Arabidopsis thaliana: one gene and its partner. The protein of the gene in region 2 interacts with the protein of the main gene of each other region in a biochemical or structural test. Each region holds a gene or a part of one and is shown on either strand. Other genes may lie near its edges. The genes, in order: BTI2 and RAB8.

Evidence for each region.
Region 1: the proteins of RAB8 (region 2) and BTI2 form a complex in vitro, tested with the Arabidopsis thaliana proteins (one study listed by BioGRID).

The regions. Positions count from the first base shown.
Region 1 is NC_003075.7:6,837,141-6,841,863, forward strand, and holds BTI2 (VIRB2-interacting protein 2), read right to left. Parts: upstream 2,897-4,723; 5' UTR 2,439-2,896; coding exon 2,186-2,438; intron 1,865-2,185; coding exon 1,684-1,864; intron 1,595-1,683; coding exon 1,453-1,594; intron 1,363-1,452; coding exon 1,293-1,362; intron 1,206-1,292; coding exon 1,036-1,205; 3' UTR 771-1,035; downstream 1-770. Other genes in the region: AT4G11230 (Riboflavin synthase-like superfamily protein), read right to left, coding at 3,651-3,760, 3,853-3,931, 4,017-4,145, 4,237-4,446, 4,529-4,688.
Region 2 is NC_003074.8:19,875,444-19,880,366, forward strand, and holds RAB8 (RAB GTPase homolog 8), read right to left. Parts: upstream 3,350-4,923; 5' UTR 3,252-3,349; coding exon of another isoform or gene 3,099-3,251; 5' UTR 2,947-3,098; exon of another isoform or gene 2,824-2,946; 5' UTR 2,822-2,823; coding exon 2,749-2,821; intron 2,321-2,748; coding exon 2,248-2,320; intron 2,160-2,247; coding exon 2,059-2,159; intron 1,958-2,058; coding exon 1,892-1,957; intron 1,739-1,891; coding exon 1,641-1,738; intron 1,549-1,640; coding exon 1,486-1,548; intron 1,390-1,485; coding exon 1,297-1,389; intron 1,172-1,296; coding exon 1,088-1,171; 3' UTR 789-1,087; downstream 1-788. Other genes in the region: AT3G53600 (C2H2-type zinc finger family protein), read left to right, coding at 89-616; AT3G53611 (uncharacterized protein), read left to right, coding at 3,099-3,251. UniProt on the Arabidopsis thaliana protein: Involved in membrane trafficking from the Golgi to the plasma membrane.

The DNA of each region.
Region 1 (4,723 bases), on a different chromosome or scaffold from region 2:
GACTAAATTATATAATTCATAGATGGTTCATTTATGCAATAATAATAGTTATCTGATTCCGGGAACATATGATATGGCCATTCTTTTGTTTAAGAAAAAAAAAAAGAAAAACCATTAATGAGAACATGTGTTGAACCAAAACAATTATGACAAGTTTGTGAAATGATCCTGTTGTCACAATTATTTTGTTGAAAGATAAGAAGTGGAACCCATTATATTATTATGTTTCAGGATTCACCATTTGATACAAATTGATCTTAAGCGTTTTAACTTTTAACTAGTTACTTATTTAGCTGATTGTTACCTGAGAAACATAAGACCGTTTAAGAAAAAACAAAAACATGGTTAAATGAGAAAACATAGTATAAAGGAAAGAAAAAAGAAGGTAATTATAATTTAAAATTAACAAAAATATAAATTGTCAGCAGTGGGGTTTGAACCCACGCCCTCGTAAGAGGACCAGAACTTAAGTCTGGCGCCTTAGACCACTCGGCCATACTGACATTTGTTAATATTCATACTTATTACATATATATAACCAGTAAATATACAAACATGTTATATTTTTATTTTTTGGACAAATAAAGTAACAAACACTTAAAAAATGAGCTCAGAGAAAATAAAAATCTAAATTGTCAGAAGTGGGGTTTGAACCCACGCCCTCTTACGAGGACCAGAACTTGAGTCTGGCGCCTTAGACCACTCGGCCATCCTGACTTGTTTGATATCAAGACATACTACAAATATATAATCGAGAAAAAACGATATTTGAGTAACGTACCATATTAGAAACACAGAAATCAATCAGTACATTAAAAATATAGATCAAGAGAACGACTACAATCATTGTGCTAATGCCACAAACCACTCCAAAAACAAAGCAAAGTTGTCAAGTAAAATTTGGGTTGAGATCTAACACATAACCTTTTAGATTACCAATTCACAACACAACACAACCCACGTGTATAAAAACCAGAGCATTGTGCACATTGCACTCCAAAGAAAACCCACACAAAACAAAAACCCCAAAAAAAACTAATCCTTCTTCTTGTCTTTCAACGGTCCTCTTGGGATTTTGCTGAATACCTTTGCGTCCAACACAGCGTATTGCTTCTTCAACTCAGCCATTGCTTTCTCACCGTATGAGTCTACTTTGTCTTCGTACTTGTCGTAGAAAAGAGGAACAGTGAAGAGCAGAACCAGAGCTGGACCAAATCAATAACCGTTCATCAGCAATGTCAGAATAAGAGAGAAGGCAGAAGCAAAATACTTTTAGCAACAGTAAGTGTTACCTATGTATGCCAATGTCAAGAAACTATAGCAGCCGCCCAAGATCGATAGAACCCACAATCCGGCAATAGCCTAATTCAATCAAACAGTACAATAAGTGTCAAACTTAAGTGAGACATCGAGAGAGGAGTAACGAGTAAGTCCAGGACAGTTTAAACATACAGAGAGGAACTTCTTGATATCCCTCCCCGACGCAATCTCACGAAGAGAAGAGATCCCACGGTTGATTTCGATTCTAAGACCCGAAGCAAGCTGAAGAAGAGGTTCTTCAGGGATATGAACTTCAGGAATCTTTGGTGGAGACCTGAAAGAGAATGAAAATTTGGTAACGAAGATGAGTCAAATAAGCTTGACAACCTTGACCTGTTTCATATGATTGACCACAAAACTTACTTGTGAATGAACATAGTGGCATTAGACCATAGAAACAACACAGCAAGAGCAACGATCATAACGTGACATAACAGAGTAAGAAGATGATACTCCATCAATTCAAATAGCACCCATGCCACTGTAGCACCGCCAAATACACCTCCTGACATTTTCTTGTCCTTCCACATAAATATATCTGCCGCTGCAATTAAAAAGATCACCAAATTAGGGTTTATCAATCACGAAATAAGAACCATATCATCAATAACTACAAGAATCTCACAAGATCATTATACACATTTCCAAAAAAAAAAAAATCAATTCCATCACAAATTCTCTCAAACTAGTCAGAAATCAAAATCGAAATCGAATTCAAATCAATGTAAACCTCTATGTAGATTCAAACGATCTTCTTCACGGATCCCTTAAACTAGTGAGAAAATCAAACAGATCAAGCCAACGCAAACGAATTCGTTTTAAAAAACTGAGAACAAATATCGAAACGGGATCAGAGTAAACATACGTTTTCCGCCGCCGAGAACCTTATGAACAGGTCTCTCTCTTCCGAACAAACGATAAACCTTCGATTTCAAAGACTTTGGAGACGATGACGAAGACTTCTTCTCGTTTTCGTCATCTGATGATGATGAAGACGACGAATCACCTTTGTGATGGATCTTCTCCGATAACTTCTCCATCAACGATTCCCTCTCTACAACCTCCACTGCTGGATCCAAATTAGGTGAAGATTCTTCATGCTTATGTTCATCCGCCATTGTTTCCGATTCAAGAGAAGAAGAAGAACGATCAAAGTTATTGTTCTAGCGTTTTCGTTACACCTCTGAGAAGAAAGATCTCGAAGTCGAATGAAAAAACCAACAATAAAAGGAGGAAAATTAGAATAAATCTGAGCCGTTGAATATTTTGTTTCTGATCTGATCCGTTGGTTGGTTCGGATCCAAACCTGCTGCTTCCTTAACTAGAGCGATGCTTAGGAAAAGATAAATGTCGTGGGGACATATAAAAAGTGTTTTCACAGGACCGAGATGTTAACGCTGTTAAGGATAACGGCTTTTTAAGTCACGTGTAATTAACGGCTCTGTTATTAAAATGGCTATTAAACTTTTCTGGTTCAGGTGTCACGCGGCTGGACAAAGAAACGGTCGAACCGGTGGTCATGTGACACGTGGTTGAATCGTAGCCGCTTGCTTATGTGACTCATGTACTTTCGGTCTGCATTCAAAAGACAATGATAATTTAATTATCTTGACACTAAATTAAAATAATATTTTGCTGCTGGCCAAAAAACTAGAAAATAAAAATATTAGAGAAGTAGGAACCGTCTCTTGGTTAAAAGAAGTGTTTAAAAAAGAATGCTCTAGAAAGTGAAAAAGCATTTAACTTGACAGCGTTAGCTCGAGTCGTAATATGGGCCCAATGAGCTAAAACAATGATGAAGCCCAGTTACTTTCTCATGTCCAAGAAAGCAAATATGATTCAAAACCGAAACCATGATTCTAAACCGGTCAAGAACCAAGGAACAGTGAAATTTTTGAGGCTTTTGAGTCAGTTCGGGTTTAAAAAGACCCTTTTCCCCAGCTTTCTTCATTCATTTTCAAGTTGATAACCAAATGGGCCAAACTAGTTATCGGCCCATAATAATAAGAGAGCTCAAAGACAGGCCCAATAATAAGTGCTCAAATTTGAAAACAATTGAACAGACAGAACCAATCATCCCAATGATCCCATCATCCCCCTTTGTTTGAATTTCTCATTTTTACTCCTTTACACTCTTTTTTTCTTCACAAGCTTTAACTGTGACTTTTTACATTTTTTAACAGTCCTACTCTAGATGAAATGGTTAAAAGTTGGTATTTGTGATACACAAAACGAAAAGAAAACACAACAAGTAGGATACGAGAACGAACATGAACATTGATTCATTCATTCAAAAAACCATAATCGTGGGGGATTAATCCTTTTACCAGTTAGAACTGTTCTTTGTGGAAATCGAACCTGGTAATTCCCGTCTGGTTAAATTCATGGCAGAGTGTTGAAAGTTCCTTCCCCAAACTTGGAACTCCACAATAGAACACTCCTGTAACAAACAAAAAAACATTCTTCAGACAAGGCAAATATACACCGCGATATCGAATATCATTTCAGTGAACTGATGTTTCTGTGTGTTACCAATTCTTGCGTTCCTATGTTTGGTGCTAATCTTTGATAAAACTTTCTTCCATTTTGGCCTCCCAAAATGTGTCCTTACCTAAAATAACCAAAAGTTGTTATACAAGATCAGAAAAGAGTGTTGTTTGTGATAAAGTAATCAACTAATCATTAAAGATCATTACCTTGGTTCCTGAAAAAATGTCGACGCCATTTTTGGCATGGTTTAACGTTTGGATCATAGTGAGAAGATTGGATCGAGTATCTCCTTCTTCGTAGACGCTAGTCAAGTAGTTGTGCATCTCAATAACACCCTTGTAGTTGTTCACAAGACAAATACGTCAGTGAGTAACTTGAAATCATACAATCTTTTGAATTTAAAATGAATAAGTGTATTGTTTTTACCTTTCTATCTGAATCAGCAATCTCGTTCATGATTTCTTTGAACCAATCGAACGAGCCTTGTTCTCGTGTTACCCAGTAAAAGTAAGCATTCTTGGTATTCAGCGTCTTCCGTTGAGTTTGCGGAATCCGACTCGCAGCTTCTGAGTTTAAGCAACTGAAACTGTGATCCGACGAGATGTTGCTGTTACTACAACTACCTGAGATGCATTCCTGAGAATATAACATAACTCCAAAAAAGTTTAGTTGAGATTCTGTTACTCATCAACAAGGTTTTTAAGCTTGTTATACTCACAGCTTGTTCCTGTTGCTTAATAATGTTATTGAGTAGATCTCTCAAAATGCTAACGAAAGGTGTTGCGCCGATTCCAAGGCCAACCAGTAATACCACATCATACTTCCAATGGTCTTGCGCTGGAGCGCCATAAGGTCCATCTATCAACAGCTCTGGAAAACTATATTACAAGAGAGAGTATCAAAATTCACATTC
Region 2 (4,923 bases):
ACATTTTCTAGGTGGACCAACCAAAACCCAAAATCTTTAATTCCCTCTATAGTGCTCTTTTCTCTTTTCGAAATACAACCGTAAAAACATGAAGAGAGACCGGTCCGATTACGAAGAATCCATGAAGCATATAGACATAGTAGAAAGTCTAATGATGTTATCTCGAAGTTTCGTGGTCAAACAAATCGATGTAAAGCAATCTACCGGAAGCAAAACGAACCATAATAACCACTTCGAATGCAAAACGTGTAACCGGAAATTTGATTCCTTCCAAGCTCTTGGAGGTCATAGAGCTAGCCACAAGAAACCTAAGCTGATCGTTGACCAAGAACAGGTGAAGCATCGTAACAAAGAGAATGATATGCATAAGTGTACAATTTGCGATCAAATGTTTGGGACCGGTCAAGCTCTAGGCGGTCACATGAGAAAGCATAGGACGAGCATGATAACCGAGCAATCGATTGTCCCTTCTGTGGTTTATTCCAGACCGGTTTTTAATCGTTGCAGTAGCAGCAAGGAGATCTTGGACTTAAATCTAACTCCATTGGAAAATGATCTTGTGTTAATCTTTGGGAAGAATTTGGTTCCACAAATTGATTTGAAGTTTGTGAATTAGTAGGGTTTTAAACCTTTCTCTGTACTTTTGTTGTTGTTTTTTTCTCTCTTGCTACACATTATTTCATTCTTTCCGTCATGTATGCATACACAATTTGTTTGAATAAAAGGTTTCAATTCTTGCAATGAGTGATAAAACATTAATAGTTGAAAGTTTGAAACAGAACCATTCTCGAATGTATACATAGAATCCAATATCATTGGTGTGTGAGTGAGATAAACTGATATTATCATAAGTCATAATCTGATGTCAGAGAATCCATTCCAGAAATATGGAATACGAATTGTGTCCTTCACAGTCACACTATACCATTAGGGAAAGAGAGAATCTTAAAAGAATACGTAGAAACACCATCTCATATAGAAGAAAAGCAAAAGAAGATTGATTTCCTTTTTCATTTTTTCTTTCCAAATACCATTTCTCTTTCACTAGCCAGATTCTCTCCTTTGACAGGCGTCGTGGACCCAATTTTTATGTGCCGCAACATGCTGATTTCTGAGTAGCTTGAGATGTTCCCGCACCTTGGTCGGATTGGTTGATTTTGATTGTTTGCGGCTACAAAAATGATAAGAAATTCGATGACGTTAGTAAGGTTGATACACATACTGAAATGTGATTTTTACCACAATTGCAATGTATGAATGATGACAGTGGAAATTAATTCTATAGCTCAAACGAACCTCAGCTCGTGCATCGGTATCTGCAAGTCTTTGCTTAATGTCTTTAGCAATAGAGAAGAAAACTTCCTCAACGTTTAAGTTAGTCTTGGCACTCTGCAATTAGCAAACTCATCAAAGTTAACCATTTAAAAAGAATTAGACCTTTCCCTATATCTATTGAAATGTAACAAAACATAGACAACAACTTACAGTCTCGAAAAACTTCATTCCATATTCATCTGCAAGAGCTTGGCCCTTAGATTTTGGCACAGCCTGGAAAAACAAAGCAAATCGGTGTATTAGCCAAATAGAAACATATAATATTTAAACAGGACGAAGATAGGAGGGAGGGTAAAAGAAGAGACTCTTTTGCTTTCATCCATATCTGCTTTGTTCCCAACTAGAATCTTGTTGACACTATCAGAAGCATGCTGCTCAATGTTACGGATCCAATTCCTGATGTCTGGAATTGAAGAAAACAAAGGATGAAAAAGAACAAATTAGTTGAGTAGAAAATAATAAAGCTAGCAAATGGAAAAATATAAAGTTTAGAACCGTTGCAAGAGCTTGTTGGGTGGCATAAGGACTGCAAGTAAAAAGTAAAGAGAGTACTTACTGTTGAAAGATGATTCATCAGTCACATCATACACAAGCAAAATCCCCATGGCTCCACGGTAGTACGCTGCAATAAGAACAAACTACTCAGGTGTATTCCAGCGAGGAAGGCAAAGATGCATAAATAACAGCAAAAAGAGAAAACGAAAAGCAAGATCGAAAACACACCAGTTGTGATTGTGCGGAACCGCTCCTGTCCGGCAGTATCCCAGATTTGCAGCTTAATTCTCTTCCCATCGAGCTCAATAGTCCGTATCTTAAAATCAATCCTGTCAAAAACAAAAAGCAACTTGAGTAAGAACAGTGAACTACATAGAGGACGTGATAACACAGTGTCATTGCATGAAGACATCATACCCAATAGTTGTAATGAAACTGGTGGTAAACGAGCCATCTGAGAAACGTAAGAGAAGGCAACTCTTACCAACACCTGGTACATGAAAGAAAGCAAAAGTCAGATAAAACAGAGACATTAGAATAATCCACTGGAACATAGTGAAACACTTACTTACAACAATCAACAAAGGAATATTCAAATCAATTTGGCTAAAGCATTTGCGGCATTAACATCTAGAGAATATAATTAAATAGCTACAGCATTCATTTGTGATTCTCCTCCATCCTAATACCAAACTAAGAAGACTATGAACATCATATGCTCACAATTGTTGAAATGAGATCCAAATCTGAGTAAGATGTGTTACTCAAATCACTGTTGTCTCAAGATCCTTCAAACAAAACTTAAATTGTAATCAACAACAACAAAAATCGAGAGAATCAATCAACAAAAAGATAGAGATTGAATAAAATGCAGGGAACAAAAGGTAGTATTACGATCTGAATGATATAGAAACCTACCGCTGTCTCCGATCAGCAGAAGTTTAATGAGGTAATCGTAATCAGCACGAGCTCTAGCAGGAGGAGCAGCCATTTCTTAACAAAATCAAGTAATTTCCGAGAAACGGATCACTGGTAAGCAAAGAGAGCAAAAACTGGAGACAAAATTTAAATCGAGAATCAATTGTGTAGAACCTAAAAATCGAAAGAAGGAAGTACCAAATCTACTCGGGGAAGATAGATCGTCGGAAGCAAGCAAGACAGTAACCAGACGGCCGTTGAATTTTTTTCTTCCCCCGATTGGCTTTTTTCGGAGATTCAGAAGTTTTTTTTTTTTTTTTGGTTAGAGAGAAGAGGGAGAAGGAGAGGGAATGGATCTGGACCGTTGGATCTTGTTCGTGGAGATCTGTGTTGGTCCGGCGCGTGGTCTTCGGTTACGGTTTGATAAATTTCGAACCATGGGCCTTGGGCTAGTTTTATTTTTGTGTGCTAAATTTATGATTTGGTGTCCACTAAATGTTTAGTTTATTCTTACTGATCCAACCCAACAGGTTACAGAATTGATGAAGTATATTCATACAGTATATGTATTTTTCTATATTTCGTTCTGAGTTGCGTTGCGATTAAGCTCTGGGAAAAAAAAAGTTGTTTCAATCCCTTCACTTGTAAATAAACTCAATTATTTAACTCCAAGGGGACGCAAAGGTTAGGCAAAATAATAATAATAATAATAAGAGTTAGGCAAAAAGAGAGCGATTGACAAATTGAGGAAATTTGAATATATTGTCGTCGGTGTTAAGCAAATAATCATCCAAAGAATAAAGCGTGGATAGGAATCTACAATGATCCTACGTAGCATCTAATGTACTGCATGAGCATTCGTTTACTCAACCCCATCCACCGATCATCCGCTGCGGACAAGTCCACATCTTCACTTCTTCACGACCAATGAGGTAATGCCACGACGAAAGCCTTTCCTAAAATTACACGATCCATTTCCTTTTCTAAATGGATACGAAGAGTGTTTCCATTGACATTAAAGGAAAGCTAACTTTACTTAAAATATCGTCCTTGAGGTAACAAAAAAGTTTAAGCCCCTATACTGTCTTATTTAATGTTTTTTTTTTACTCTTACACTATTTAGTTCTATGTTAATCCAAATTTATCCAATTATTTCCGATATCTAACTATTATCCAAAAAAATTAGGGAATGACACGACACGACGTAAGCCTTTCCTAAATTATACGATCTAGTTTCCTTTTCTAAATGGATACGAAGAGTGATTCCATTGACATTAAAGGAAAAAGTTAAAGCATACATTCTCAGATTTGTTTTGAATGTAGACTGCAATTATTACGTTAATGTGATCGTCTTATTAATGCTTTTAACTCCAATTTACAATGAGATTCATGTTTATCCAATTTTATCCCAATCTCATTAAACTCTTACCATACAAAAAGTCAGAAAGATTATCCAAAACCTTCCGATATGAAAATGGTAATTATTTGAAATGCACGTGTATATTTATCATAAAAATTAATCATAAAACGGTGCTTACGGTGATGGTAATTGGTGACTTGTATCAATCAATGCCAGTAACCGATTATAATACGAGTTCAAATACCAAAAAAAAAAAGAGCTGTAAACAACAAAAATCCATATAATATCTAATACTTTTAAAAGTATAAATCTAATAATTTAAAATAATAATAAGTTAGTAATTTATTTTAAACTCCTAATATCAAAATAGTATAGAAATCCTATACTATCATAGGAATCCTAAAAGTATAAATTATTTTAAATTCTACTAATTTAATAGTTACCAGCTGAAAAAAAAAATAAAAAAAATAAAAAAATAATAGTTACCAAAATTACTATCATAGACAATCCATGCATTTTTGCATGAATCCTAATACTATATAAAATACGATAAACACCCATATTTATCATTTTACACATCTTTTTGTTTGAATTATCCATATACATTATGTATAGAAAGAAAATAAAAACGAATATTCACTTGACAGATTAACATATGCTTTTCTTTTGATTGCAGTTTGTAATCCACCGACAGAGAAATTGCGATGTCATAAATCTGAACACGAATTTTCGGTGCACTCGCCAACACCTGATCTCAACTCTCTCCAGCATATTCCCCAAATTAACAGTAGCTAACGGAGACTTAACGTGGACTC